4 linked regions of the Drosophila melanogaster genome follow. The protein of the gene in region 2 purifies or fractionates together with the protein of the main gene of each other region. This does not show direct contact. Each region holds a gene or a part of one and is shown on either strand. Other genes may lie near its edges. The genes, in order: pix, Git, Pak and stnB.

What was found.
Region 1: the proteins of Git (region 2) and pix purify together in Drosophila melanogaster (affinity purification with western blotting, with the first as the bait; one study listed by BioGRID). This does not show direct contact.
Region 3: the proteins of Git (region 2) and Pak purify together in Drosophila melanogaster (affinity purification with western blotting, with the first as the bait; one study listed by BioGRID). This does not show direct contact.
Region 4: the proteins of Git (region 2) and stnB purify together in Drosophila melanogaster (affinity purification with western blotting, with the first as the bait; one study listed by BioGRID). This does not show direct contact.

What each region holds. Positions count from the first base shown.
Region 1 is NT_037436.4:8,968,860-8,976,280, reverse strand, and holds pix (pixie), read left to right. Parts: upstream 1-1,515; 5' UTR 1,516-1,624; intron 1,625-1,863; exon of another isoform or gene 1,864-1,933; 5' UTR 1,934-1,934; coding exon 1,935-2,147; intron 2,148-2,209; coding exon 2,210-2,820; intron 2,821-2,879; coding exon 2,880-3,596; intron 3,597-3,653; coding exon 3,654-3,948; 3' UTR 3,949-4,225; downstream 4,226-7,421. Other genes in the region: Srp68 (signal recognition particle 68), read right to left, coding at 1-544, 607-956, 1,061-1,157; CG5026 (uncharacterized protein), read right to left, coding at 5,101-5,178, 5,235-5,332, 5,386-5,798, 5,858-6,333, 6,396-6,783, 6,854-7,104, 7,208-7,366. UniProt on the Drosophila melanogaster protein: Plays a role in translation initiation and quality control of translation. Together with pelo and HBS1, is required for 48S complex formation from 80S ribosomes and dissociation of vacant 80S ribosomes.
Region 2 is NT_033778.4:10,638,622-10,647,009, reverse strand, and holds Git (G protein-coupled receptor kinase interacting ArfGAP), read left to right. Parts: upstream 1-1,582; 5' UTR 1,583-1,672; intron 1,673-1,855; 5' UTR 1,856-1,879; coding exon 1,880-2,755; intron 2,756-3,047; coding exon 3,048-3,204; intron 3,205-3,267; coding exon 3,268-3,353; intron 3,354-3,415; coding exon 3,416-3,700; intron 3,701-4,073; coding exon 4,074-4,264; intron 4,265-4,336; coding exon 4,337-4,733; intron 4,734-4,795; coding exon 4,796-4,999; 3' UTR 5,000-5,192; downstream 5,193-8,388. Other genes in the region: Elp2 (elongator complex protein 2), read right to left, coding at 1-148, 204-987, 1,039-1,161; CG11883 (uncharacterized protein), read right to left, coding at 6,422-6,496, 6,561-6,656, 6,725-6,964, 7,028-7,542, 7,681-8,244, 8,298-8,384. UniProt on the Drosophila melanogaster protein: GTPase-activating protein for ADP ribosylation factor family members, including ARF1.
Region 3 is NT_033777.3:6,347,883-6,355,292, reverse strand, and holds the start of Pak (p21-activated kinase), read right to left. Parts: upstream 4,398-7,410; 5' UTR 3,942-4,397; intron 2,171-3,941; exon of another isoform or gene 1,754-2,170; intron 1,206-1,753; exon of another isoform or gene 1,043-1,205; intron 856-1,042; exon of another isoform or gene 698-855; intron 380-697; 5' UTR 273-379; coding exon 113-272; intron 28-112; coding exon 1-27. Other genes in the region: Hr83 (hormone receptor 83), read right to left, coding at 4,781-4,992, 5,426-6,050.
Region 4 is NC_004354.4:23,000,707-23,008,304, reverse strand, and holds the start of stnB (stoned B), read left to right. Parts: upstream 1-3,656; 5' UTR 3,657-3,755; intron 3,756-7,598. UniProt on the Drosophila melanogaster protein: Adapter protein involved in endocytic recycling of synaptic vesicles membranes.

The sequences.
Region 1 (7,421 bases), on a different chromosome or scaffold from region 2:
GATCCTGTTTGATTTCGTCGCGAACGGCCTGGATGGCATCCTTGCAGTCCATCAAAATACGCTCAATCAATTCTATCTTGGCATCCTGCTTGGTGGTCTTGGCCAGCGACTTGTCCAACTCCTGAGCACTGAGCAGGAACAAACGCACCTTCTCCGGACGCACGGTGACCTTGCGACCGCGCCAGTCGATCGTCTGCAGGCCCTCGCTGCTCTCCGTCTTTGTCTGACTGACCAGTACGTCAAGATTCTCAAGCACTCCCTGAGCGCGCAGCTCCAGGATCTCGTCGATCTTGCCGCCACTGGCGCCACCGCTGATGTTGTAGGCGCAGTAGCGCAGATTGGGCGTAAATTCATTAACCTTAGCGCGGTAAAGCTCTTGTTCATCTTCGGGCAGAGCCTTGCCCAGGTTTTCGTACACCACTTGGGCGCGCTTTAGGTGCTCGCCAGCGGTTTTCCATAGCTGCAGCTCAAAGTGCAGGGTTCCGTGCATCCAGGCAACATAGGCTTCGCACTCTAGCTTAGTGCGCGCATCGAAAGCCTCCGTCTACAAGAAAATTATAAATGAAGCTCAATAAACATTAATCATAACAGTGAGTTACAGCTTACATTACACAACTCCTGGAGCTGGAGGGCATAGAAACAGGCCCTGCGCAGCTTGTTGACCAGATGGAAACGCTTTCGCGGCTCCGTATTGGACTCCTGCTTGAGCTGCATGGCATACGCCCAGGCCCGCTCGGCGCAGATCAATGGGATGTGGATGAAACGCTCGTCCGCCTTCTTGCCTGTCAATTGGCCAATGGTCACGTCGCGTCTTTTGAAGTGCCGCTTGTCGCCCTGGGGGTACTTCAGGGCCTTCCTCAATCGACGGATGCGGCGGCTGCAGTATCCGCGGTACCTCTGGAAGTCGCCGTGGCGCAGGCCGTGTTGTTGCTGGGCATCCTTAATCATGTGCAGAACTGCAGCAGGAGTGAAAGTTCAGGGCATTAGCATTAAATTTTAGGTTAAATGGTTGGGCGTCTGGGCCACCTGGCAGTTGGCTGTAGGCGATTGGGGCACTTACTCTCCACCGTGAAGATCTTGGAGGGCTCTGCCACCGGAGCAGTCTCCGTCTTTTCCTGAACGTCCCCAGTATTTGGATTATCTTCTTGCACGACCATTTTCTTAGCAGTCGACACAAATCAACGACGTGTAAAAATTAGTGATTGCAATTCCAATGGGATTGTCAAAAACACTAAATAATCGATATTATTAAGAGCGGCTCTTGTGCGATATATATTTATATTTATTTATAGGATATATTATCAGTTCGGAAATTACATGTTCCTATATTGAGAGATAGAAGTTATAAATTTTATTTGATTGTCACTAAGCTTACTTTAAATAAAATCCCTGAAACATTATAAAACTTATGTTATGTAAAAATAACTGCACAAAACAATAAATAATTATAAACATGCTATACGAAATTCAAGCCCACTTATTGATATCGATAGTTTCAACGGCGCATCCCTATTCGTAGTAGTGTTGAGAAACTCATCAAAGCTCCCCCCTTTTGAAACTTGTTGGCTGACACGCAAGAGCGTGCGTTCTGTCTGTTTTACAACAATTTCGGCCAAGTTCGCAGGTAAATTTCAAATATTTCAGCACTCTGTCAACGTGAAATTTAAGAACAATGCCTGACGCATGAGAGACAATAGAAATTTATGGTGGAAACCCATTGTTTTGGCCACGCTTTGAGGTTATACTTTCACTCACTGACAAACGCTGGCACCTCACCCCCGCTCTTGTGTCCATGAATCGGTGCACCAGTTTTGTTTTGACGGTCGGGGATGGTGATTTGCAACGTTGACAATGGACTGATTATCATATAGGCGGCTGATTAGTGGATCGAAGCCAATTCTGTTTAATTTGCTCATTTGAAAACTATCAACAGCATGTCGCGCAGAAAGGAGAACGAGGAGGTGGACAAGCAGACGCGTATTGCCATCGTCAGCGATGACAAGTGCAAGCCCAAACGGTGTCGGCAGGAGTGCAAGAAGACCTGCCCAGTGGTGCGCATGGGCAAGCTCTGCATCGAGGTGACGCCCACGTCCAAGATAGCCTCGTTGTCCGAGGAGCTGTGCATCGGTTGCGGTATTTGCGTCAAGGTGGGTCAGCTTACCTACAACTGCTGTAGTTCCCGGAATAACCCGTGCTTTCAATTCCCCAGAAATGCCCCTTCGAGGCCATCACAATCATCAACTTGCCCAGCAATCTGGAGAAGCACACAACGCATCGATACAGCAAGAACTCCTTCAAGCTGCATCGTCTGCCCATTCCGCGTCCCGGTGAAGTGCTCGGTCTTGTGGGACAGAACGGTATTGGCAAGTCGACCGCTTTGAAGATCCTCGCGGGGAAACAAAAGCCGAACCTGGGGAAGTACGCCAATCCGCCCGACTGGACGGAGATCCTTAGCTACTTCCGCGGCTCCGAGCTGCAGAACTACTTCACCAAGATCTTGGAGGACAATCTGAAGGCGCTGGTCAAGCCGCAGTATGTGGATCAGATCCCCAAGGCGGTGCGTGGCGCTGTGGGCGATCTTCTGGATAAGAAGGACGAGAGGGAGCTGCAGACTAAGATTTGTGAAATGCTGGATCTATCGCACATCCGTGATCGTGAGATCGCTCAGCTTTCTGGCGGAGAACTGCAACGCTTTGCCATCGCCATGGTATGCATACAGAATGCAGACATCTTCATGTTCGACGAGCCGTCCTCGTATTTGGATGTTAAGCAGCGTCTGAACGCTGCCTTGACCATTCGATCACTCCTGCATCCCACCAAGTAAGTTGATGAATAATGTGCCATTGTTTAAAATTATGACGTGGTTCTGTAATATGCAGGTTTATTATTGTGGTGGAGCACGATTTGTCTGTGCTGGATTACTTGTCTGACTTTATATGCTGCCTTTACGGAGTTCCCGGCTGCTACGGTGTGGTTACTATGCCTTTCTCTGTGCGCGAAGGCATCAACATTTTCCTCGATGGCTTTGTGCCCACCGAAAACATGCGATTCCGCACTGAGTCACTTACTTTCAAAGTATCTGAGTCCGCTACGGAGGAGGAGATCAAGCGCATGAACCACTACGTATATCCCGCCATGGTCAAGACCCTGGGCAAGTTCGAGTTGACGGTGGAAAAGGGTCACTTCAGCGACTCCGAGATCCTGGTGCTCCTGGGCGAGAACGGTACAGGAAAGACGACGTTCATTCGCATGCTGGCCGGTAACCTCCAACCCGATGGCGAGGTGGAACTGCCTATGCTGAATATTTCCTACAAGCCCCAGAAGATTTCCCCGAAATTCCAAAATCATGTTCGCCATTTATTGCACGATAAGATTCGTGACGCCTACGTGCATCCTCAGTTTATTGCCGATGTTATGAAACCCATGAAAATTGAGGAAATCATGGACCAGGAGGTGCAGAACCTTTCCGGTGGTGAGTTGCAGCGAGTCGCCTTGGTCCTGTGTCTTGGCAAGCCAGCGGATGTCTACCTCATCGACGAACCCTCTGCCTACTTGGATTCAGAGCAGCGTCTGGTGGCCGCCAAGGTTATCAAACGGTATGTTTTACATAGACTTTAAATCTGCACACAAATATTGATGGTATCTCGTTTTAGTTACATTCTGCACGCCAAGAAAACTGGATTTGTGGTGGAGCACGATTTCATCATGGCCACCTACCTCGCCGACCGTGTCATCGTGATCGAGGGTCAGCCTTCAGTGAAGACGACAGCCTTTTCGCCGCAGTCGCTGCTAAATGGCATGAACCGCTTCCTCGAACTGCTTGGTATTACGTTCCGTCGCGATCCCAACAACTTCAGACCCCGCATTAACAAAAACAATTCGGTCAAGGACACAGAACAGAAACGCTCCGGCCAGTTCTTCTTCTTGGAGGACGAAGCCTGCAACTAAGACAGGATCACGGGCAACTTCGATGGGACAGCTCGTTTCTCTATGTTCTCCTCAGCTTTCCTTCGTTCATTTTGCATTCTTTCGTTGAAGAACACATTTGCTTTCAAATTAATTTGTTATTGTTGTCGAGGATTGCGTACAATCGAAAATTGGGGATTAATTGTACTTGATTAAAGTGAGTTTTATATACGTTTTTACAGCGAAATAAATAGTGAACCGAAACAACAGAATGTTGTTTTAAATGAGTCTAGCAAAAATAAACCAATTTTCTTTATACAAAACTGCATTTGAAAGTTCTTTTTTCTAAAGTGGTGCTCATAGAATCCTGCGAGTTTAAAAGAGCTAACGTTTGCAAATTAACACGTATTTATTGCACTTAAGCGATAATTACTCAAAATACGCACAATACAAATGTAAATTACATACAAATTTCTGTCATTTCAAATTTGATCACAATACGAAATCGACGCACAATGAATAACAGCTACAAACATTTATAAGTATATAATTTACAATATTTGTTTTTAGATATACCAACGCATGCACAGCATATTTTTAATGTAAACGCTTTTGAAGCTTTAAATTTATGCGATTTAATCAAATTTACATACAATTTTTCGAAAAAGGCAAATCTTTTGAGTTTATAATACTTAATTTGATCTGTGGCTTGTTGACCACTAAATAACTGACACAAGTAAGTACTATAAATAGGTAATTTTGGAGACTTATACGCTAAAAATTCCATAAAAGTAAATGCGTCAAAAATTGACCCAAATATTTGATAGTTGCATTGTGCTGTTTCGAATCCCAATCTGAGTCTGAGAGTAGAGAGCGTTTTACAAGGAGAGTTTTCTTACTGTTTTGCCGAACTTATGCAATAGAAGTATAGTTAGTAAAAATGGACACATGTATGTCTAAAATTGAGTGTTTCAGTTGATCCAAAAGCAGATCCTATGGTTTATCCAATAATTTAATTACCTTGTTTATTTTCTTTTTCCTTCAGCATAATTTCTTGTAAATGGAACTTTTAGTGACTTAACATTAGTTTTGCTATGTGCTTAAATAATTGTCGAAATCTTGCAACAGAACGTATCAAAAATAAGTGTATATCATGCAGGAGATTAAAAGATAGAGAACATTTGAGGTAGCCGACTATGTATCGTTTCCACTTTTCATGAGGTTGGACACTTCCTGGCCGAGCTCCATGGCTTGTTTGCGCAACTTGAGGGCCTGAAAGATACATGTCATCAGTAAGCATTTCGCTATCAATACTCAAGTGGACTTACCTGAGTCCTGAGTTCCTTCTCGCGGGTGACAAGTTCCTGAATTTGCGACATGACTGTGACTGAGCTGCGTTGATCTATCACCCACCGCAAATAGAGATCTAAAATGCATGTTTGATGAGTAATGTTTCATATATTAAGTTCTTAAACATACCACTCCACAGCTCTAAGCTTATGGGCGCCACCGATGGCCATATCACATTGGCATTAGGCTCGTACAGCGGATTCAAGAATGTCTGAAGGACATCAGGCCGGTTCAAATAAGACCACAGGCTCGTCGTCCTGGTGTGCACATTCAGTTCGTTTCTCTCCCGCTCTGAATCGCACAGGAAAGTTCCATACTGCGAAAAGTGACTGTGCTCAAATAGAAGGATCAGCAGTTGAGTGCTGAATTCAAAGCTGCAGGGGAACTGCGTGTAAAGCTGATAAATGCAATCCAGAAATAGGACGAAGGTGGCACCAGAGGTCTTATTGCGTGTCTGATTTGGTGTATAGCATGAGTAGCGATGACGCGAGGCGAACGGATGTCCCGCCTGGATCCACTCGCGCTCTATCAAAGCCTGCAGGCTGCAAAGGGAACACGGCATAAATATCTTTTTCAAGGTAAGGAGAATATGATTACTTACCCCCTTACAGTCCGGCAGTCCGGATTGAGAATGATCTGCACCAGTGAGGTGACTATAAGCGTGGAGTCCAACCCCTTAGCACCGTGCACTAACACTGGACTTCCCTCTTGGTCCAGGCATTGGGCCACCACACAGGAGGCGTTCAGTGAGTTCAGCACAAGACTAAGCCAGCCGCTGTTCTCCAGTCGCGATAGCCATTTATCAGTACTGCATCCCAAATCGTTGCAAGCTTCGATAAGCCGAGCAAAGCTGTCCAAAATAGAGGCGGGCGAACTGACGTTTCCAATTGAACGATTTACCTTCTTCCACTGCGAGTAGTGCAGGTCAGTTTCCGTATTCGATTTGCCCTTACCCCAAGTGTCCACGATGAACCCCTTCCGACTGCGACCCAGCACCAGATTAAGGATAGCCTCGTCAGCTCTACAGCGCTTGATGCCCTGAATGGACAGCGGCTGGGAGCTGCGCATTAGTGTGGCCTGCAAATATGAATCATTGAATTAATTTAATAAAATTTGATGATGTAGATGCAATGACTTACGCCATTTTCATGCCTGTAGCTGAGCACGGGGAAGCGGCCGCCATCGCGGAACGCAGCGGAGAGCACTATCTGCTCGTCCGTAATTGCTTTAGGTACAATTAGCGTGGCGCCATATGTGGCACAGACGCTGAAGTCTCTGTTGACGTTGGTGATGCGCCACTCGCAGGAGGCCTGGGGACTTTGAAGCGCACCACCTCCCACACCACCAACACCACACGCAAGGGCTTCTATCGCATAGCCATTTTGCAGAGGATGGGGAATGCCGGCGCCCACAGTCAACGTCGATGTCGAAGTTGATGGCATGCAAATTGTTATGTTGGCCACATTCGGCGAGGACGCACCGCCCATGCCAACCCCGCTTATGAGTTTGGCGAACTCCAGCTCGGGCCTGTCGTTTGGATGGGGAGGTTAATTGAATTGTAGCCAATTTGTTAGTTATGGAGAAGCCGTGTACCCACCTAAACATCGTGTAGCCGTCCTCTAGGATCGAGTACATGGGCCGGTAGAAGAATGGATAGAGCAGTTCGGTGTTCTGGATGGCACTGAGTGCCTCCAGCGATGCGGCCACGTTGAAGAACTCCTTGCCGCACTTTATCTCCAACGAAATGATGCGCAGGTCCTTGCACTTCAGGGTGATAATCCCACCGACCACGATATTCTGCGACAAACTAGGCTTCTTCTCCACACAGTCGATGTTCTTGTGGAGCAACTGAAAAGAGGGGGATGAGCATGATGAATTTCTAATTCAATTATGAGCGCTCCACTGATGCCGAAGCACATCGGATTAGGTGGGCAGGCCTCAACCCACTTACCCATAGCTCCTGGCTGGTTTCCTGGCGGGCGCTGAGCAGCAAATGGTGCCCTGTGATGCACAGTGTGCCAACTGTTGCACCCGACGCCCCCGCATTCGATGGGTCGTGCAGCAGGACACCGTCCAGCTTGGGGGTCTTTATAAGGTCGGCGAATTCCATGGTGTCGCCCTCGGCGGGGTGTCCGATTTGATTTGGCCCCCACTAATTAACTTTT
Region 2 (8,388 bases):
TGTCCATCGCCGGAGAACTTTCCACCATAGAAGCCCACGGAGTTTCCACCCACTTCACCCACGCGAACTTCTTCCAACCAAATGCCTTCTTCCGTAGGTGCCCAAATTATGACGGTCTTGTCAATAGAAGCGGATAGAAGGCGGAGCTCTAAATGGATAACGTTTTTGAAAGGTCTTTGGGGAGTTCAATTGCTGTGCTTTACCTTGATCGGGTGTTTTGTGCCAGTGGACCCCATAAATCCATCCCTCATGTCCATATAGAACCGATTCCAAGCTCACTGCATACCAGGCTTCTTTCCCCAGTTGTAGTATCTTCTCCTCCACCTTTATCTCATCGTCGTTGTGGCTCAATTGATGCAGATCAACCCGATTCTCTTGCATTTGCTCTTTGCTGCGCGGCGCAATCCGCCAGAGACGAATAAAGTTATCCTGAGAGCCACTGGCCAGCAGCAAATCCTCGCCATCGACAACGAAATCCAGACCTCGAACCCAGTCTTCGTGGCCAGTGAGCTTGTGTTTGCGTTGGAACTGCCGACCTAGTGAATCTCCTTCACCTGCGGTTTCTACCTGTTCCGACCACAGGGAAACAGTCTCGTCATCGCCACTGAAGGCGAGCAGAACCTGGTTGCTCTTGGGCAGCAGCTGCAGTCGAAGACAGAAGCAGAATCCGTCGGATAAAGATATGGTTTGAAAGCACACATAATTATTATCCTGGAAAGTCCACAACTTGATGGTGGTATCTGCTGCTGCGGTCGCCAAAAGCCAGGAGCCATCCTGTTGGCGAATTCCATCCACAGTATTTACGCCACTTGTGTGTCCTTTGAGAGTGAAGCTCTTAGTCGTTCCCGTTTCATCCAGTTCCCAGAGAATAGCAATTGCATCATCTCCGCCGGAAAGAAGTTTGTCGCAATCCAACCACCTCACAGTGTTTACTCGCTTTGTGTGCTCCACCAGCGTGAACAGGACCTTGGCTGAGTTGCCTTGAAACTAAAAATTGGTTAAATATACTATGTTTCCAGTAAAGGCAAAATTTCCTACCTTTGGATCCATAATGGCTATGGCGTTACATGCCCCATAGGCAATCCAACCATTTGGACCCCAATCCGCGCATTCCGTGCAGCGGTTGCAGGCCACTGAAGTATGCAGATTCTCCACTTGCATGCTAATGTTGCACTTCTATTTTTTAATGACAACTAAATTCGAATTGAATGTCGGCGAAATTGTTTTGTTTTGGCACATGTGCTTCAAATAATGCAGTGCTTCTAAAACTGTCTCATCTGTTCATAAACATATGATTTCTAAGGGAGTGCAAGTGAGACAACTATATGTTGTGAAGAAGCTGGAATAGTGAGGCCAGCCGACAATATTGAAAAGTCTGGCAGGGCTAGTTACGAAAGTTACACCTGTTTGGTTTTTGATTTTTCGGTATTGCAGACCATTGCAAAATTTTGACCGAATAAATATTGCAACTTCTGTAATACTGGGTATATGATGGATTTTAAAATTTGAAAAGGCACAAACACAGCTGCTACATTCGTCAGCCTTTTCACTTCAAATCTAGCGCTTTTCCACTGCTACTGTTTGGTCACACTGGTGCGCAAAATAACTAAAACAAACTCGGAAAAGGCGTCCGCAAATGTTTTCTTCTGCTGCTCCCCGCGTTTAATTAAAAGTAATTTTCCTAATTGATGGCCAGGGGTGAGCCCCAGTTGCTGATATTTGACCTTTCACCGCCAGCGTTTCGGATTTCCAATCAGAAAGCCAACAGCTTGCAACTGACTCACAACGAAGTCACTTGAGATTGTCCGAGTTTTTTTTCAACTTCGGTATTCTATTTTTCGTATCTCCCCTGCAGCTTGTGAGCGTCTTGGAATGCTGAATGTGTTTCGCCAGCAGTATAATCGAAGCGCACAGGAAGTTATTTATAGCGCCGCCGGATTTGGATCATTCCGATCCAGCCACACCCACGATTTCGACCAGATCCAAAATGCCGAGGGGGAAATCCCGCCTGCAAACCGAAGTTTGTGGCGATTGCGGAGCTGGTGATCCATCCTGGGCGAGCATCAACCGGGGCATCCTTCTCTGCGCCGACTGCTGTTCGGTGCACCGCAGTCTGGGCAGGCACATCTCCATTGTGAAGTCTCTACGCCAGGGTAACTGGGAGCCCTCGGTTCTGAACTTTGTGAACTCTCTAAACGCCCATGGAGCCAATAGTGTTTGGGAGCATCATCTGCTGGATGGCAGCACCAACTCCACCGGCGGAAAGCACGTGCCACGCTGGCGGAAACCCACGCCCAAGGATGCACTCCATCCCACCAAATCCGATTTTATTAAGGCCAAGCATGTGAATCTAACGTTCGTGCTAAAACCCAGTCTCCAGGATGACGATGATGGCAATGGCTCAGCGGGCTGTCTGGAACAGGAGCTGAGTAGACAGCTCCATGCCAGCGTGCGGACCAGCAATCTAGAGACTTCACTGCGCTTCTTGGTCCAGGGTGCAGACCCAAATTACTACCACGAGGACAAGCTATCAACGCCACTTCACATGGCCGCCAAGTTTGGCCAGGCATCACAAATCGAGATGCTGCTCATCTATGGAGCCGATGTGAATGCCTTGGATGGCAATGGGATGACTCCTCTGGAACTGGCCAGGGCCAACAATCATAACACCATCGCCGAAAGACTGCTTGATGCCATGTACGATGTCACCGACAGGATCATTACCTTCCTAGGTGGCAAGAAGCCAGATCATGCGGTGAGTTTAGATCTTTAATTACCTGCAGAGTGAAATTATACTTTAATTGGACAAACCATTTAACCTTATCCATTGATTAATCATATATGTATTAAGCCAATTAAGCTATATCCTTGTAACTCCTTAAGTTGTCTTCAGTCTAAAGTTTATAACTATCTATTTAAATTTTTGTTAGTCACAGAACTATATTTATTTAATGGATTCATATTTCCATGAGCAAATGCACAGTTGACTCGACCTTTCCTACCCATTTCCTTATTCCGTTCTATTTAAATACTATTTCCATACGTAGAGTGGCCGCCACATGATTATTCCGGATGCCAATGGCGCGGACATAAGCGAGCAACTGAAGATTGCACGTGGAAAGTTGCAACTCGTGCCAAATAAGATGTTTGAGGAGCTGGTCATGGACCTATACGATGAGGTGGACAGACGCGAGTGCGAAGCCAGTGAGTATGACTGCTAAACATAGACTACAAACAAAGCTAATCTTATTTTTCTTAACGAAATAGTCTGGTCGACAAGCACCCTGAATGCTGATCATGCAACTGTGCCATTTTTGCCGGCTAATCCATTTTTGAGCGCCACGCGCAATCAGGTTTGACCTCGCCGTACATTAATGATTCGAACCTTCATTCATTGACATGGTCTCGCCTACAGGGTCGTCAGAAATTGGCACGCTTCAATCGCGCCGAGTTCACTGGTCTCTTGACCGACGTGCTCGTCGATGCTATGCGACGCCAGAATATGGCCAACCTGCGTCCAATGGATGCCCCAGTGGCCGGGCACCAGTCGCTGCAATCGCTGCCGTATGCCAACAACTCAATGCTGCTCGGCTCGTTCGAGCAGGGCGGTCATGATCCGAATCTGTCGGACGACGAGCCCATTTATGATCCGGTGGCCAGCGATGACGACTATGCCCCAGTGCCACCAATGGCCCAGCAGGTAAACCTAATGCGGCAAAAGATACTCAAGCTGAACAATAGCTTTGGCTAGAAGCGTAAGCGAAGACTGACATTTAGACAACCCGTGCTGTACCCATTGTGTTCATCCGTAGGCCAGGGCACTATAGCTCCCTGATTTTAGGCAACCTAATCCATTTTCAAAGGTAGAAGTCCAAATGTAGAACATAAGCCTCAATAAAACTAGCTGATACTTGTGAAAATGTAGTTTAAATAAGTAGTAGTTGGTACCGTGATTTGTCTGCCTTGCCTTTTGTTTTTATGCAATATTTATTTTTAAAGATTTTGTAATTATTAGTTGTACTTGATTTATATTGATTTATTTTCCTTGTTTTTATGCTTTTTATTTTACTTAGGCCATTGTGCATACGCCACCGCGCAGCGCGAATTCGCACAACGAAATGGAAACGCTGCGCAAACAGCTGAACGATTACAAATCGGAGATCAATCAGCTAAAGAACGTGGTGCAGATGCTGTCCAGCGAGAACACGCAGCTCAAGTCCAAGTTCTCGAGCGCATCGAACAACAGCGTGTACGATGAGCCACTGTGAGATTTTTCATTTGAATTTATTTGGCTAGCTTTATTTTTATGATTTGTTTTAAATTTTCCTTTGCATAGTCGCATTGATCTGAGCTTGAGCAGTCCGGATACAGAGCACGAGCCTCTGTCGCTACCCGAAGGTGGGACTGCCAATGGGGAAAGCGGCTCCTCCAATGATTCGTCAAATCAATCGACCATCAAGCGTCCAGCCAGCATGTACGAGCGTCGTTTGGTACCCAATGTGGCCAAGGGCAATACGGACATACGAAATACGACCAGCATGTACCAAATGGCTGGGGATGGCAAACCTTTTGGTGAGGAGGTCAAAGTGCGCTCTGACTTGGTCACACGCCGTCTTAAGGAGCTCATAAGAGCTATGCAGCCAGTGCCAGAGGATCAAAAGCAGTCGATTGCTCCACATGGAGAGCTTATACGAAGTGCCGTGACTGATTTAATTGCCCTTTATGCCAATTTGGTAAGATGAACATAGGGGCTTCCTTTATAAGGATGTTTCATAATCATAAACATATATTTTAGCCACCGAATGCCAGTGACCCGTCTCGCGAAACCCTTAAACTGCTAACCCGCCAGAACATTCTCATCCAGCACGAGTGCGAGAATCTGCAGAAAGCCATCGAGGCGGATGACAAGCAGGCCATACAGAAGAACACCTTGGAGGTGCGCGACTGCGCCTTCCACATTGCCAGTGCCATAAAGACTTTGGTGTTGCAGTTCTATTGAGACGCCCAAAACACAATCATCGACATAGAAGTTTAAACTCACTCACTCTTTTTTGAAGTATTAACCGACCACTTTAGTGCCCTGCTGACTAACAAAAGTGCTTCCGCCAAATAATTTAAAGAATCCCCTTTACATATAGTTTATGTATTTAATAAATGTTTACATAAATCAATGTACTTCGTTCAATATACACAAAATGCGTTCTTCTACGGGCTAATGACCCATTGCAAAATAGTTTAAAAGTGTTGAAGGATTGGCCCTCAAATTCAAAGGGGGGGAGACAAAGGAGGTGGAAAGATTTACGATATCTGTGTATATATATATATATTTATGGGTCCTTTATAATTTTAATAATCAGGTGCATTTTGAGCCTGTATATTGTTCACTTTAGTTAACTGTACGTTCTAAGCATGGACAATCAGTTAAGCATGGAGTACATATGTATAAGTGGCTTCCTCTACTTATTGTTTAACTTTGTGTAATTGAGTGGGTAGCTGCTGCCTTTGCTCTGGCTGTTTTTCTGACCTCCGGCTGGTGGTCGGATTGCTCGCCTATGGACAAAAATACACTCGTGGTGGTTGTGGTGTGCAAGTTCAAGGAACTATTTAAGATTAAAGCATTTATCCATGAGTGTTGCACGACTGTGCTCGCGGTCTCTAAAAAATAATATGCTCTGCCATGTTCGAAGCGCACCAAAAGTGTCCATAAAAATATACACATCCCATTTTGACATTCAAAATCTAGGTGCATTGTCTAAAATATTGCTTAACATTCACTTTACATCTGCTTGCCCCTTCAGTTTGCTACTCGTAGTCCTCCTCGTCGCGGTCCAGTGGTTTTCATTTGCTTGCGTACAACCTACAGTATTTGATTGTGTTCGTGGACTCGGGATTTTTTAAAAACAACTACTTGGAATATCTGAAGGTTTTTTCCCAAAAGCTCGGCTCAAACTCTTTTCGTTATCTAGATCACAAAACATAAGGGCTGCTCTGTAGTTACAGTAATAATAATCAGTTGGTTGTGTAAATCAGTTTATCTAATTAAAAGTAAATTAAACTAGCGGTAAGCTTTAGGTACACGTACTCACTACACATGCATCATATACAATATCAATATCAATATCTCTGGGGAAGTCTTACAAACGTTCACAACGAAACTTAGCCGAAAAAAACAGTGGAGCATTAACAATAAACGGTAATAATATAGGACACGATCCCACAGATCTGCCAACTATCTAACTAGCTAAATGGTTATATCTTCGCTTTGCTTTTGCCTAAACCGTACTCAAATGTTTCTCTCCACATCGGAACCTGTCCCTAAATCAATTTGTCTTATTTTCTTGTAACTAGAAAAAACGAAAAAGAAATAAAGAATACAATAAATTAAATGCAAATTGTAAATCAAATGACTTTTGGTAGTTCTTTACTCGTCCTCAGCTTCGGTGATTGTGGAATTCATTATGTGCGTCTCCTTTTTGAACAGTAACTGTCGATGATGCTGCGGGAATAAGGATTGCTTAGTGTCAATTGTTATATTAAATATACAGAATATTGTATATTACTTCTTCGTTTTGAATCATAACGATACGGTGCTCCAGTTGTGGCGCCAAATCGCATGTGGACTGCTCCAGGTCATCCAAGGACGCACGTCGTAACATCTTTAAGGGAGTAAATATTTCATTTCAGATATTTCATTTATATATAGTTATTATTCAATCGCGAATACCTTTTGAGAATTTCCATGTGTCAAATCCATCGACTTGTTGTGATGGCCCACGGACAATTTGCGAATGGGCGATGGTCCATCCAGATCCATACTATCCAGGCACTGCACCAGACTATGCCTCCGGGAAAGGGTCACCAGCGACTGGCGGTGCTTAGTGTTTTGTCCACACTTCCTCGAATTGATGGCCTTGAAATGGTTCTGCAGAGTTATTCCCAACTCCGGGCAAGCATCATCATCCATCTGCAATGGGGTAATAGTTGCTTGAAAACGAGAACTTTATGCAAATGAAAAGCCACGACTCACCAGCACAGTTGCATCCTTGAACATGGTGTAGCCATCACAGCCCATGAAGATATAACTCTTGACGCACAACTTGTATGATTGCTCCAGGTTAAGGTACTCATCGCCCACCTGGATAAGTTGCGGATCAATACGTTTGCCAGGCTCCGCCTGCGGATCGAAGGCGAAACTGATGCCCGACACCTGGGGGAACCTGCCCTCCAGCTTGGGATAGGCAGACACTCCGTTCTCCAGTGCTTGCCAGAGTATTTTACCCTTCACTTCGAGCAGGATTAGTGGGTCACGCATGGGAATAACGTTCACCAGATCGCCCATGGTAAAGGCACCCACCGGATGCACTCGATCCGAACGGAAGGTGCCACCATTCAGGATGACCACATCGGCGCCAACGGCGGCAAGCACCACGTCGCACACCCAGTTGCCCAGATTTGTTTCCTGGGTTCGTACGCGGGAAAAACGGCCATCCAATTCCACGCTAAAGACACCCATGACATCCGAAAGCTTGCTCTCGATGAACTCTGTAAGGAACAAGGAACTCGATTAGCTTGATTTAGTAATTTAAAATCTTAATCTTTCCTTCAAAAAGTAGCCTGCCGAAAATAAATTCCGTAAACAAAACTAAACTAAAACCCAAAAATGATGTTCTTTCCACCTACTGGCATATTTGGAGAGCTCCTGTTTCAGTTCCGGATCCTCCGGAATTTTGGCCGTCACATCGAAGCACTTGACGTCCGTTGTGAAATGTTCACGATTGGCGGCATCCCGCTCGATAGTGATGACGGAGAATTGCTGGAAGTCCGTGCCTGATTTGACAATCATTTTGCCATTGATTTCGGTGACCTCGCGGACGTGATCGTGACCACCGAGTATAATATCGATGCCGTTGCATTTCTCGGCCAGATTAATATCGTTGGGAGTACGCATGTGGGTAAGGGCAATGATGAGGTCACATCCCTCGTTTCTCAGCTCGCGGGCAAGCTTATTTCCCGCCTCCACGTAATCAATGTAGGTCACCTCATTCGGATCGATGGTGGGCAGAGTCTCCAACCATTCTCGCTCCACCAGTCCAATCAAGCCAATGGATATCTGATTGTGTAGTATGAAGTGCGAGATCTTGCCACCACCCAATGGACGACCGGTTTCATTGTCCACCACATTGGACATGAGCCAGGGGAATTCTGTCTGTTTGATCAGTTTGACCAGCACATCCAAGCCGTGATCTGGAGAGGATTATAAGTTAGAAAATGCCTTCTAAAACTCATCTTCTTCATACCAAAATCGTGGTTGCCAAAGACGGCACAGTGAGTTCCCACCGTATTGAGCACAGGAATCATCTGTTCTCCTTGGGTAAAGGTGCTCACTGC
Region 3 (7,410 bases), on a different chromosome or scaffold from region 2:
TCTTCTTCCGATCGGAGTCGTCGGGTTCTTTTTGGGAGAAGAGAAAAAAGCACATTGTTAAGCGGACCAGAGGTCTTCACATGCCGTGCTCAACTAATCGAAATGTACTCACCCTTGGGCAGCGGACGCATGTCGGGCGGTACATCTCCCATACCGCCACCTCCCAGTCCTCCGCCACCGACGCCCACTCCTCCTCCCGATCGTTCATTGCCGCCCCGGTTGCTGGTGAGACGCACAGGCGGCGCCGGCGGTTTGTCTTCCTCGCTGGACATGGATTCGTCTTTGTGTGCTTCTGGCTCTTCTGGTTAGCTCCTGCTTCCTCCTCCTCCGCTTCGTCTAGCGCCCCGTTATGCACAGCTGTTCTACGCCCAGAAAACAGCTGTCGAGAGTGGGAGAAAGGGATCAGTATGTTGGCCATAACTAAGTATTTCGCCTTAACTAAAATGTACTAAATATGAGACAACTATCTTAACGATTTTGTATCATTGATATATTTTCAATTCTTATATTACTAAGAAAGACTATACATTTTTTAAATAAGTGCTTTTTCCAAGAAGAACATATAATTTTAAATGTAATATGTGCTAGATGTTTTCTAAAGCAAATTATTTAGAAACTGGTGATTTCATCAACACAGTTCGAAATTGGGAACAGTGCAGAAATGATTTAATGCTTGGAGTATTCCAGGGGTGCCAACCTTCTGTTATCTATCGCGAAAAGTGTTCCGCAGCTTATCTTAGTATATATTTCGTTCTGTATTCTTTCCCCAACGTATTGCAATCGCGTCATATGCTTCTACAAAATCACAAATTTGTCATACAACTACAAGAGATAGATTGTTTGCATATATTTTTCTCGAACACTTTGGCGTTGTGTGTTTCACACCATTCTGCACAAAGTTATTCATTTTTGGCTTTTGATTATTATTTTTTTTTTACCGATCTTCATGAAGATCACGTCAATACTGTGTGCTCTAGATTTTTTGGCACGCGGAAAGCACTTTGTTTTGCTTTTTGAATATGTTCAAAAACACAACACCTACACACACACACACACACACTGGTTGGCTGCAGCAGGAGAGGAGACATATAGCCGCAGTTATAAATTTATCAATATAGGCCGTCCGGCGAACTAATTCGGACTGTGGGCCCGCTGCTCAGTTGTTCCGTCAGCGTGTCTCCCACCTTCGAGTGTCACTGCCACTAGAGCAGGCTGCAAAAGGCAACAAACAACATACATCGCTCCAAGAGATTGTCTCGAGCACCCCAGCTCGCGAGAGTGCCTCCCCTACATTGCTTAAAAGCTGATTGATATGGGTATTCGAATTTTGTATACTCTCCGAAGCTAATTTTATAAATTAGTTGAGACTATACATTTCAATTCAGCAATTATTGCGCATCTATGTGAGGAACTTAAAATATTATCCTATTTAAGTTAAGTGTGCATTGATCATAATTGTATACCCACATCTATTCACTTTTAGTTCATTTATTTTAAATATTCATTGGAGCACCTATAGAGCATATGGAGTTAAAAAATATGACCCAAAATGGAATAATCATTAAAGGACTATATTTTAATTTCAGTTTCCATTAGACGCAAACCACTGTTCTCACACAACACACTTTAAGGGTATCCTCTCTACCTCAGTTGCTCCGCTCTCGCCCACGTAAACGATCGAGAGCCATAAAAAATTCGTTGCGATAACAAGAGTGGCTTCGATTGCACTCATAATAAAAACAAAGCAGCTCACGCATTGGGAATTACAGCAACACAAATGAGGAAATTAAGCAGCGAGGACAGCAACAACATAAACACACTCGAGTGGGCGGCATCGCAGCCAAACATATGAGCGAGAGGGCGAAAAGGAGTGGGAGCGCAGAGTGGCGAGGAGAGCAAGGCGGCTTTGGCGCCTGTCTGCTTTGCCGGCGACGTCGACTGCGCTGCTTTTATGATTCATTTATCATCGTCAGGCGTCAAGAGTCAATGCAGCTAACGGGAGGCGGAGAGTCTGGGACGAGGGGGTGGCGAAGTGTGAAAACGTTGGACAAACATTAACATACAGTTCCAACAGCTGTGGTCAACTTAATAGCATAGCGGGGATCTAATAAGATATCAACTCCAACTTTTGAATCATCAGAAAAAAGGGTTCTTAGTGACCAATATATGTACATATATGTGTACATAAGTATATAAGAGAATCATAGGATAAAATACCCAAATCATTATGTGTCATGCGGTTCATTCCGACATTACCTTTCTACCCCAATTTATCAAGTGCAATGTTTTCTTGCTAATTGTTTTTAAATTCACCGATGTAAGTAGATTGTTTACTCAATAGATACGCTCGTTGATTTCAATTACATATGTATGTATGTCGATACATACTGAATTTAAGATAAAAAGTAAAGGAGTATCGACAAATAGAAAGTAGTAAACTTGCTGTGTGATATATTCTTGACCGCAACTGTATATCTGTACTATAGGCTTTATGGGCATACGTTGGTTTACTGGCTGCTTGCCCAGAGATCTATAAACGTATATATGTATGTACATATAATATGCATGCAAACATACACACATAGGTGAAAATTCGTTTTTAAATCAAGCAAGAACAAACTTTTCGGGAGCGTGTGGGCGCCCAGAACTGGGTTAACGATGTACCGCATTGTGTTTGATTTCATTGACGGTCGAACTTTAGGTAAAATCGATAAAAAATGTTTTTCTTTCTGCAGGGGCCCATGCAAAATTATTCCCTAATGAGAAAAACACACATTGTAGGCACAGGAAACTCGACAACACTTGCGGCATTTAAATTAGCGACAGGGGTTGTCAAACGCAGGGGAGCGGAAGGGAGGAGGGTAGGACATTCAAAGTGACGCAGGCCTAGGTGCATGTTGCAACAACAGCGACGCAAACGTGGCGCTCGCTCCAAGAGCTGAAAGAAGCCACAAACATATGCATACTTCTTCGCCACGTTTACGCGGAGCCAAAGTTTGTGATCAAGCTTCTTGATTACTTTGACGACTGCTTTATGTTAACTTTCTATTAAAACTAAACTTAAGAATTTATTCATGGAATTCATTTTACGCAATTTTTCCGAGGATTGCTGTATAAATATGAAGCCAAAACATGACGAAGATCACCTTCTGCTGTCCGAAGACTTTAAGTAAGTTATCTTAGTATCAATATACAAAATGTAAGCATTAAAAATGATACGATGATTATGGTCGGTGCATATTTAGCGAGTTGCCACGCATAACTGCTGGCGACGGAGACTCTCAGCCGCTCCGACGTTGTCTATTTTGGTTGCGGACGCCAGCCGAAAGCAGCAGGCGGAAATGTTATGCCTTTTATATTCCTCTTTTCAGTTCCCTACCGCGACCGCTTCCGCGCGTCCCTGTCCCTTCCGCTTTTACCTGTGACCGTGCTAAGCAAATATGTTTTTCGTTGAACGAAGGAAGGGGGTGGTGCACTGGCGCACTGGACATGTGCCGTTAGAGCGGTAACTGTTAAATGCCAAATCGACTGCGAAATGTTGTTAGTTATTAGAGCTTTATGTAAATGTCTTGTATCGTGTCACGTGTGTTAATAGCGGGGGAAGGGGCATTGGGGCATTCCAGCTTGTTGACATTTGGTTGCTTTATTTTTGGGCTGGAAATTCGGGAGCAGCAATGTGCTAATCCAAAATAATGTGGCGTGGAAACCACTTGAAACGTTTTCCTTTAATCCACATACACGCACACACACACACGTGAGTTGGAAAAATCAATGTGTGCAACCTCTCCTTAGGCGGTGTGTGTGTGCTTGTCTGTGCATTGGAAGCCAGACCAATTGGACTAACGGTGCACTCTCTTTTTATGAATGAAACTCCCTCGCCCCGCTCTCCACAAGACCATTCTACCCGCTCCACTCGGCCACCACTCTCCACTTGAACTCACTGCAAGTACAATATGCCTTGGCTGCCTTTCTTTTGCACGGTGCACCCTGTACGCCGCTTGCAGTCGAAGAAGAAACGCTTGCGATTCACGGATTCGCGTGGACACCACTTCTCCACTGGCTTCTTGGAGTTTTCCGAGCCCACAACACTTGGCCGCACTCGCACACACTCCAAACCGCACACACACTGTATTGTTTTCCAGTTTTCTCTGGTGTGTGTCATAAATGGCCGACGGACGAGAGGCACCAGCAGCAGTTAAAGCGCAGCAATCTTATGGCGCTCCGCAAACTTTCTCGCTTTCTAGCTTCTTTAGCAACGCGCGCGCATTTTCGGTCCTTGCATCACCCACTAATTGGTTTACATTATTCAGGGGTTTGTTAACTACGAAAAATAATTACAGAAAGACGACAAGACGGCCGCAGCAGACAATGTAGCGATGGCAAAAATATATCAATATATCGATAGCGAACAGAAACGAATATATTCGCTCCGTGACTTTTCACAACATATCGATGAGTTTTTTGTATTGTGATTGGCGACCTTTGAAAAAGTGTTTTTCAAAAAATACCACATCAAATTTTGAGTTCATAATAATCTCTTTGTTCCAAATATTTTTATTTCCAACAAATTGCATAGTGCCAATAAAGTTTGGGGCGTGTCTAAATGCCTCCATGAACGATTGTTGACAGAAATGAATGCATTTTTAGATATGGGTTGAAACTTCAGATAGCGAAGTTACTTTAGATGTTTGAACTGGCGAACAGAAAAACAGCCATTATCTAGTACCCTCTTTAAGACTAGGTTTTTCTTTAATTTTGAAAGATGAAGATAGATATGAGCCTAAAGTGTTTTTAAGATGTCCCTGACCACGCTGCGAAACATACAAGAAAGCGCGCAGTCGAAGCGCCTCAGGCACAGCTGCCTCAGACCAAGGAGCAGTTGTCCGAACCGCAGGTAGTTGGATTGCTGCAGGGTGTAGCGGGCTAAGGAGATCAGGGCGGCTTTAGAGTGGCTTCCCAGGATAACGGCATACTCCGCATTGATGGCCAATTCTGTAAAAACATGCAATCGATATAAGCAATTAAAAGTATTAAAATGGGATATACTAATGGTGGTTTGACTTCCTATTAAACTCTTAATTAAATTAAAACGATGTAAAAGGTCTTAAATCTGTCTCTAATCTTGAATCTAATCAAATTTTATGGTTGGTTCAAACAAACCAACTGCACATGCTGGAAAATTTTCTTTTGAATTTATTAAGCCCAAAACGGAAACGTTTTTTCTGGGGTTAAGAAAACTGCTTGGGTGTACTCTTTCATGCAGAATCAAATAGCAAAATCTATACATAGCGTACATAGGATTTAAATTTTCGTCTAAGAAATCACGTCAATATGTGTAAAAACATTGAAAATTGGTTAGATGGCTTCAAACCGCTTTTATTTTTAAATCCTAACAAGCCTTTTTACCGCACAGGCGGAGCTTTACCTTTTCTGCACAGGATTAGGGACTCCATAAAGTTGAGTTCCAGGACGTCGGCCCTTAGCTGGTGGGCCTCGCAAATGAGCCGTTTGAGCTGCTCATCGCCGCAGCCGTCGATCATGGCGCTGATGTCCAGAGACCAGTGGGACGCTCGCAGGACGAAGATCTCGCTCCACACCACCTGAAAGATGGCGTCTTGTTGGCAGCGATCCAACAGAGCGAACTGCTCGTTGGCCTTCGCCTGGCGCAGGCACGTGACAAGGATCTGGGCGAGGATCTGGAAGTGCAGCGCCTGGGAGTGGGGCGTCGGGGATGGCGCCGCCTGAGATGGCGGAGCTTGTCTCCGGCCAGTGCGGTAGAGAGCCACCTGCTGGTTGCGCGGACCGCGCTCCTCCTGAACCGCAGCAGCGTTCATTCCCACGGCCAGGCATCGCTGGAAGCGGCAGGAGGGACACCAGTTCCGCCGCGCCTTGTCCACCACACAGTTCCCGACCAGAGCGATGCAGGCGTAGCTGCTCCCGCGCCGCACGCTCCGCTTGAAAAAGCAGGAGCACCCATCGCAGCAGGACACGCCGTAGTGCTTCCCGGAGCTCTGATCGCCGCACACTGCGCAGGCACTGAAGTTCGACATGGTCACCGGTTGGCACTGCTTGCCAATGAGCCAAAGAGTCGCCGCGGACTGAATCAGCTCATCCCGGATATTGGCGGTTTTATATGCCACCTGGATGTGCTACACCCGCAAATGATATGCAAACCAGTTACACAGAGCAAAAATATGTTTCCTAACTAGAGATGGAAATTGTATTTCAATGGGATCCAAAGAACAAATTCCTAAAAGCGAAATATCACTAAAATATATTTTATTCAAACTTAGGACTTTCAAAACTAGAATGCAAGCACCAGAAACCTTTTAAAATAATTAAGATATTTGTGTAAGAAATATATATAGTTTGATAAAAATTAAACAGTATCGGTATACGATAAGTTTTTGTTATATATCAATCTCGTATTTAAATATTTAGTCGTAGTCAAGTTAAGATATAAATCCAAAAAAATTTGATATAGATTTCTCCCAGTGTAGTAGGGCCTTGTGCCAAAGCGTGATTTGAGGATTTTTATTTGCCCGAGACGCCCCTGGCAGGGGGCGTGGCGCGTCAAAAGTGACAATCATCTACTACTATTGCGGACCGTGTTAACAATTTGTAAACAATTATTGTTTTGCTCTGTGATTGGACGTGCGCTCGCCACTCGAGGTGTCCGCGTTGAGGTCCTTTTGTCCTGACATTTCGGGCAAACAGCGAAGACGTTCTTTGGGGGTTGGGCTTAGAGAAGTTCTTATTCCGGAAATTCTCGAACTGTTTAATTAGACGTTTGTTTTAAGTCGCAACTTTTACCTAATTCTAGGTTAATAGGCGAATCACATCTTAAACAGAGGGATATATTAAATAATGAGTTCAGTCATAGAACGGCTTAGATCTCTTCGTCGGTGATATACACTGATAAACAATTGGGAGCGGGTGGAAGATTGCATTAGTCAATCGAATGATCTCAAACTTGCCTTAGCCAACCATTTCAGGCCTGGAAAGTACTGTAATGCAAGTACTTGTATTAGTCAGTGTCAGTGACTAATTCCTTCCATACTCCTTTCAATAGGTTCATTCCTAGCCAGTTACTAGCTCACGTTGGTCTAAAAATCTTCTTAAAAGCAAGCCCATAAAAAGAGAGGTTGCTCGGATGACAGGACATTGGGCATTTTTTACTAATCTAGTCTATATTCGATTTAGTCCATCAGTAAATGAAAGATTAAATTAGGGTCATTCCAATGATGTTGAAGAACATCAAAGTCTTTAAGGATATGGGACTATTTAACAAACGCTTAGTTAAATTCAAATAGGTTTCTAATAATCCGATTCTCCAAAATATTGTTCATGTTGGTAAATTTAAATGTAATAAATAGTAAAAGATAAGTTCAAAATAAGCTATGTCATTTG
Region 4 (7,598 bases), on a different chromosome or scaffold from region 2:
TTTCTTAAAAAATTGAAGGAGATATTTCGATTTTTATTCTATATCGCAATCAGCTTAATTTTTGTTGCTCTGTCAATCGATTGTGTATTTAAATACATAAGTATTATGCAGCTTTGTTGAACATAAGAAAGCCGAAGCATATAGGTTTAATGTGGGACAAAACTAGGCAGTATGAATATAATCTGATGATTATAATGATAATGAACCTCTCCATTCTCTGGAGAATATATGAATATAATCTTTTCGTTTTTTGGCCAGTATATCTTAGATGGTCTTGTACGAGTTCGGGTACGTCCAAAGTTTATGCACTACCGGCATAAATCTTAACGAGTTAATGTAAATGTAAAAGATGATTAAAATTCCTATAATTACCACAATAAAAGGTAGAAGAATTCTGTGTGTGTGTTTAAATGTTCACAGTAGGTCAGACGACTGCATGAAAACCATCCAAACCTTTAGTCTTGGTCCTTTACCTAGACTTTGCTTTTGTTTAATGGCTTGCTTACCTCTTTTGTGTTAGAAATCACAGTTGATTTAGTGTTGTGTGAAGTGCTTCAAGAAAAATATCGATGAATCGTTATGTTTGCAAGTCCCAGCAATCGCAAAATTGTCAAAAAACGATGTGGCCTAGCGATAAGTAGTATCGTACGTGGGAAGATAGATGCATGCAGAGCTGGAATGCTATCGATTTAGAAAAATACAATCGATACATCGATACATCAAAGTTGCACTTTAAAAATATTTGTTCGTACTTCATTCCCAACTTAAAATATATATTTAAATAAATAAAAGTTTTCAGCAGAAAATAAAGTTATTCGAGATTCACATTATTAATTTCTTACTTATTTAAATTGCCAAATTTTAAAACTGAGCTTATTTTTTATAATTCCTAGCTTAGGTAGCTAACATGAAATTCGTAAAACTACTTATCTAAAAACCGACTCGTCGCTGGGGCAATCTGAATAGCACTTAGCTCTAAAATATGCTACAACCGCTCACAGGTTGTGATTCAATTGAGTATTTTGAAGTGTTGAGTAAACCCAGTTCAATTTGGGGAATAGGTTCGTTCGTTCGTTTAAAATCAATGAACTAGGTCGTTCATTTAGTTCAATCGTTCATTTTTTAAGCTTGCTTAAAGGTGCTTCACAATAAATGTTATGAGTTTATCTCATACAATGCTGACATTAAAATTTATGTCAAAAACAGTTATACATAATAATAATAAGTAATAAATAACAAAGAGTTTACAACTATATTGAACTAAGTGAACTATAAAGACAGACCTAGTTCGTTCGTTCAGTTTGGGGAATAGTTAAATTTAGTTCGTTCGTTCACGAACGACACAACACTAGTGAATACTGTGTTGCAATGCACTGTGGTCCAGAATTCGATTTTTTTGGCATAAAGTCTAAAAATTGAGCTACAGACTTGAAACTTTGTACATTTTGTTGTTAAATCCCAAATAGTTTGCCCACAATATTTGTGCGACCACGCCCTCTCTTGCCTCCCCCACATTAACAACTGGTATGACTCAGGGTCAACGAAATTTTATTGTTTTTTTTTTTTTTAATAAAAGTGTGTATTGTATGTGTGTAGTATTGTTTTAAAAATAATCGCCCTCTTCTTCTTCTAGTTCTACATAATAAATAAAGTATGACAGAAGTTAAAAATAAAGATTGATCAGAAATTGGTGTGCCAAGTGCTTCAGTTTCAAATTTCTGCTTGTAAGCACTATGACCAGTTGTCCCATCAAATCTGTAGCTGCAAATTAATTTGATTATAAAGATATCTGGAAATTGCTTGAAAACATCAGATTGCAACTTAATTAATTTTTGCGCTGTATGATCCAAGAGATTTGTAATAGCACTTGAGCATTACATCTGTACCCTCTGGTCGGCACTGCAATTTTGCTTCGATCACTTCATTATAGGTGTTTCTGGTGTTATCTGGTGTTTTTAAAGTTTCTTTAAGAACAAAGGCAACGTCCCTTTTGCATTTCTAGCAGAAACAGTTGCTGCATGAATCAAAAGACTTGTGTCGTGATCACTTTTACTTGCCCGATTGGATGCTAGTTTCCTTTTTAATCTTTCTCCTGCATTTTGCTAAGATAAGTTTCGGCGTCCCATTTAAATCCAATTTAACAAGAATTGTTATCTTAGACGCCATCCATTTGGTATGTTTGGAAATAAATCGGTCTAGTTGTCTGTTACACTCGGGCAGTTTTCTTTTAATAAATAATTCAAAATGTACTATTTTTTTTCAATCTCTTGCGGAATAAACGTAATCTGAACCATACATTTATTTGCCTATTGTTACGCCTCCAAATGTCCAGGAGGTCGCTATGTCTGAACTTTAACTTGCCTATATAAAATGTAATTTTAAGAAAACGAGCAAAAATGAGAAAAATATATTACTTTACCGTCAAAGATAATAGTTAAAGGTACAAACTGACGTTTTTAATTTTTTTCAGAAAATTAGTTATACTCCACGAAACACAGGGGACACGTTAGTATTCTCTGTTAAAATACACATAAATTGACTGTTACACAACACAAAAACAGTGCAACTACACATATATTAACTACATACGTTAAAAACAACATACCTTGGCATTTATTTTCCATATTTTATTATAATTTATAATATAACATTTTAAATTTATAATTTATATATATTATAATTATAATTTATAATAATAATAATAATAATAATTTATGGATGCGTATTAACGATCGTACCACGTGCAAAAGTAAGCAAATAATTTGGCGGGAATTGCATTCTCTCAATCAGCTGCTTAACACTTTTTTTTTAGCAAATCGATAGAAATTTAAAATTATAAAAAAAAATTTCGAAAAATGATTAAAAAATGTGGGTATTTCATACTTTTAAACGAATCTAGTATACCCTTTTACTTGACGAGTAACGGGTATAATACGTTTTTTTTAATGTTGGTGCTGAGAGGGTTAGGTTAATTTAAACATTATGCGATTATTTGAATATGAACGAAATATCACGTGTCGTCCATAATATTTTCAGGGCTGAAATATGTTTAGGATACGCATGCGTCAGAAATCAAGACTTAATAAAATGCCTAGTGTCATATGACAGTGACGCAGATGACAGCGCTTCTCTTTATATCCGTTACTTGTAAAGTAAAAGGGTATACTAGACTTGTTGAAAGGTATGTAGCAGGCAGAAGGAAGCGTTTCCTAACATATAAACTATATAACAATAGCCACTTCGATCTGTTCCTGTCCGTCTCACTATTTTCAGCAATTATTGGTTATTTTCTGTTTTATTATATTTTCCCAATTTTTACCAATATTCCAAAAAATATTTGAATTTCTCGTTTCCACTTCCAGTTGAGTAAAGGGTATCTGATAATTGGGGAACCGGACTATAGAATCCTCTCTTGTTTAAGTCTTTCTTTTGCAGAGCTTTGAAGCTTTTAGAGCAGAAAAATCACACAGGGATAAAAAATACCATAAAAAAGGGTAATGTCAGCTGTGGAAGGAAACTTCCTTAAGTACAGTGCTTTTCAGAGCTTTATGTAGCTTTTAAAGGATATACCGTTGGTGCGCCGTACCGCTGTTTCTCCTCTGCTGACGTCGCAGCTTACGAAAAGCACTTCCTACGGAATTTCACGACATTTAATTCATTCTGTTCTAGATTTCCCGATAGTTCAAATCAGAGGTAAAGACCCCGAACCGAATCAAAACGAAAAACTAAAGTCCTCTGAAAACAAACAACGCTAGGTACTTGTGTTAGCTCTTTGCTTATTTTAAAGTATATGCCAAAATATTATCTTCGAAAACAAGTGAGAGAAATGTGTTTTTTTTTTTCGTACAATGATAATTGTATGCACAAGAGTGAGACGTAAGTTGCATAATTTCCTGAAGGAAAACTTCGGAAATTCAGCTGCGTACATTTTTTCGAAGTGGGGATAGGCATACATATAAAAGTTACAGTTCTTTGGGCTCCTTCCTGTACCCATAAATATATAATTGTAGAGCTTAACTTTTCTATGTGCCGCGCGTGTGTAAGTGTCCAAGTGTGTGTGACTTGTAGTGCGGGGGAGCTGTCTCTTTTGCACGAATCCGTCGTCTCTAGAGCATCGATTTTTCCAACCAACTCTCATTAGAAAGGAGAAGAAACAGAAAGAAAAACTAAGAAGAATATATATTGTAAAATAATATATTGTAAGATCAAAAAATACTCGAGCGATATGCCAAGTGACATGTGTGCGAAAATAAAAGCTATTTAAGCTTTGGCAAGGAAGTGCGTCAACAAATGATATTTTAATGTGACGTTCAGGCTAGATTAAATAAAAATGAGCAAACCAATTTTTATTTGTACCTATTATTCAACATGGATAGAATTTTGCCTTATTGTATGTATTATGATATGAAATCAATTTTTCATAGAGATCCTTAGGTTTTAGATGCTTACAAGGGGTCTAAATCCATTTTTTATTGTTAAAGTTTTATTGTACATGTAATCCTGTTCAAAAGTCGGTATTCTATAATACCTACTTTTGCATTAATATTCTGAAAGATGTAACCTAAACCGCATGAAAACCGTTTTGAAAAATGTATTAAATGGTACGTAATCAGCGAACCAAATTAACGTTCTTTAAACAAGACAAGTGATTAGCAAAAATAAACAGCTAAAATGTTAAAATTTGTGCTTAAAACGTAATAAATTCGCACTGTCCTAAGTGCAAATAATTGGTATAAACAATGTGTCTGAATATAAATGTTGCCTATTGTAAAATCCCAAATGAGAAGACTTTACTCGTTGAGTTTTTGTAAGAAACTAATTTTATTTGGAAATATCTTCGGTTTAAATAGGTGACATGAGAATCGCATCTTAAAGTAAATGGCCTACGCAGAGGCCTAAGTAAATAGTCCCCGCCTTATCGAGGTCCCACGCTCGGGCACATCTGCCTATCTTGAGCGGCGAGGACCTTATCTGTGGTCTCCCACTAAGGGACTATTTTAGGAGGCGGGGAACGATCTCAAGTGACTGACTCATGTAGTGTGCACTTAAATTACATGTTTTTGAGCAATGCACCCATGTCGCCTTAGATAACAAAATCCTAAATATAATTTATCGCTCTCGATTCATTTACATAAGATATGAACGGAGCCCAAAATTGTAAGTCTTTAAATATATTCGTGTTCATGTGTGAACATTCTGCCAAAGGGCCAGCAAGCTGAGATGTACATTAGTATATTAGTTGCATTTATAACAGTAGTGGACTGTATTTATTTGATATATGTTCATTTATTTTGCAACTAAGATTTCAATGGGCCTAGTTTTTCTGGCTTTTAATTTTATTGGATTACAATTATGGTTTATATTATTTTTAATTCAACAATTTGTACTCAATTAACTTATTTTAAACATTTTGCTTTTTCTATGTAGAAGTACATTTTCTATTAAACAACGATATAGTGGACTGTATATTTTTATTTGTTATATTATTTTATTGTTTATTTACTATTGATATTTATAGTACTGGCAACGGACCTGCAAAGGTTATTGCTTGCATTCTTTGTTGCACAGCACATTTCCGTATGAAATATATTATTAATACTATCATTAGTATTAAAGCAATAATTAATCCAGCATGTCCGGAAATATGATGGAAATGTAAATCTTTCAATTTTTGATGGTTCTCTTTCATAAATTTAATTTCATTATTCAATCGTTCAAATTCCTCAGTATGATTTAATATTGATAGTTTCAGCGGATCCCAAATAATCTTCGGCGCTTCACTAACTTCTCCTATATAAGGTGTTGATAATAATTCTTCACTTTCGGACTGAATGTTATGGTGGGCAACTAGAATTTTATCGTCGGTTCTTGCCGTACAATATGGCGCAATGCTTAAAACTCCTTGCTGAGGCAAATCAAACAATTCAATTTGAGAGCCAGTACATTGCAGACGGACTTTTGAATTCGCAGGAACCTTAAACAACCAACTACTTTTCTTTTCTAACTCTACCCAGTAACTTTTAGAGTCGACTACTGTTTTATAGATGCAGTTCGCCGCTTTATCTGGCTTTAGAGGCTGAATCTCACATGCATTATCATTCGCTGAATTCCAGGGCCAACTTCCTTTGCATATTCTCTTATTTAGTTGCCATTTCTGACATTGATTTAATGTGGCTTCCGTCATTATGTGATAGGAATCTATCTCAAAATTATAAATTAAATATTCGGACGTTGTATGCACCATTATTATCCGATCTTCATTTCGAATTGGCACCGGAATAAGCCTGAACAATTTGGATGGATGCCTGCTAAACAGAGGCACTTTTGCACTAATGATCAATTTATCGTCGATGAATAAACCCCTGGCTGTTAACAGTGTATACACCTCCTTAAGTTCCGTACCTGACCGTTTTCCTGGAATTACTAGGTTCTCCGAAAGACTCTGCTGAATTTTGGCAATTTCTTTTTTAAGCTGATTTGGCCTGAGAATATTTGTATTTAGCCTACCGTGATTAATATCAATCAACAGGCTTATAATGCCTGCTTGAATTTTTTCGCCTTCTTCAATCAATGAGTGTAGCTGTTTCGTAATCATAAAGAATTTTATTGATTCCTTATAAACATAATAATTTTCTTTAAGAACTTCTGTCATGTTCTCAATTCTTATTTGCATACTTCTAAAATTGGAGTTAACATCTTCTGTTGTTCTCTTTAATAGATTAGAAGTTGAATCAACCACAGATGTTTGTTTTTGAATTAGTTTATCAAGGTTGTTCTGGTTATCTAACAAATTCTTCATATTTTCTTCTAATTGCTCTCTATCATCTTCATCCATTATACCAAATAAAATATGATACAAGGAACCCATAAATTCGAAAGGAGCACGCTTGCTTCTAGATCTAGACTGTATCATAAACAATTTATTGTTTTCTTCAAGTTCCGATAACTGACTTTGCATATTATCTAAGACTAGACTACATTGCTCTTCAAAGCTATGAAGTCTTTCGCAAACTTTCCTCATACTTTGTATAAGCGCATTACCCTTTGTTAACATTTTAAAATATGGATCCATTTTATAATAGATAACCAAATTCCAAGAAGTACTCACAATCTCAACATCTCCTAGCGGGTCTAGATATATTGCTGAGGTTTTATTTATTTTGTCTATAGAATATCTTGGTGCTATATCTTTAGGTAATGCGCTAGAAACTTGACAACTTAACACAAACAACAACATTGCCATAATGATTCCGATCTTGGACATTCCCGATGTCGCTCTAGTTCGTCTTTTTGGCTCTTGGTCAGCCTCATTTTTGTCAACAGACTTTATTCCTTCCAAGGGACAAATTTTAGTAATGGGTCTAGTGATATATCCTTCCTGCATTTTTACTTTAGCCACTCGGACCTTATCATCATTCCCCTTATGCACCTTTTCCACCTTTCCTAAAGGCCATCTTGCAGGATGACAATTCTCATCCTTTAATAAAACTATTTGCCCTTCTTCTATATTAGGAATTTCCTTTTTCCATTTATTCCTTTGCTGGAGCGTATGCAAATATTCACTTTTCCACTTAACCCAGAAATCTTTCTTCATTTTT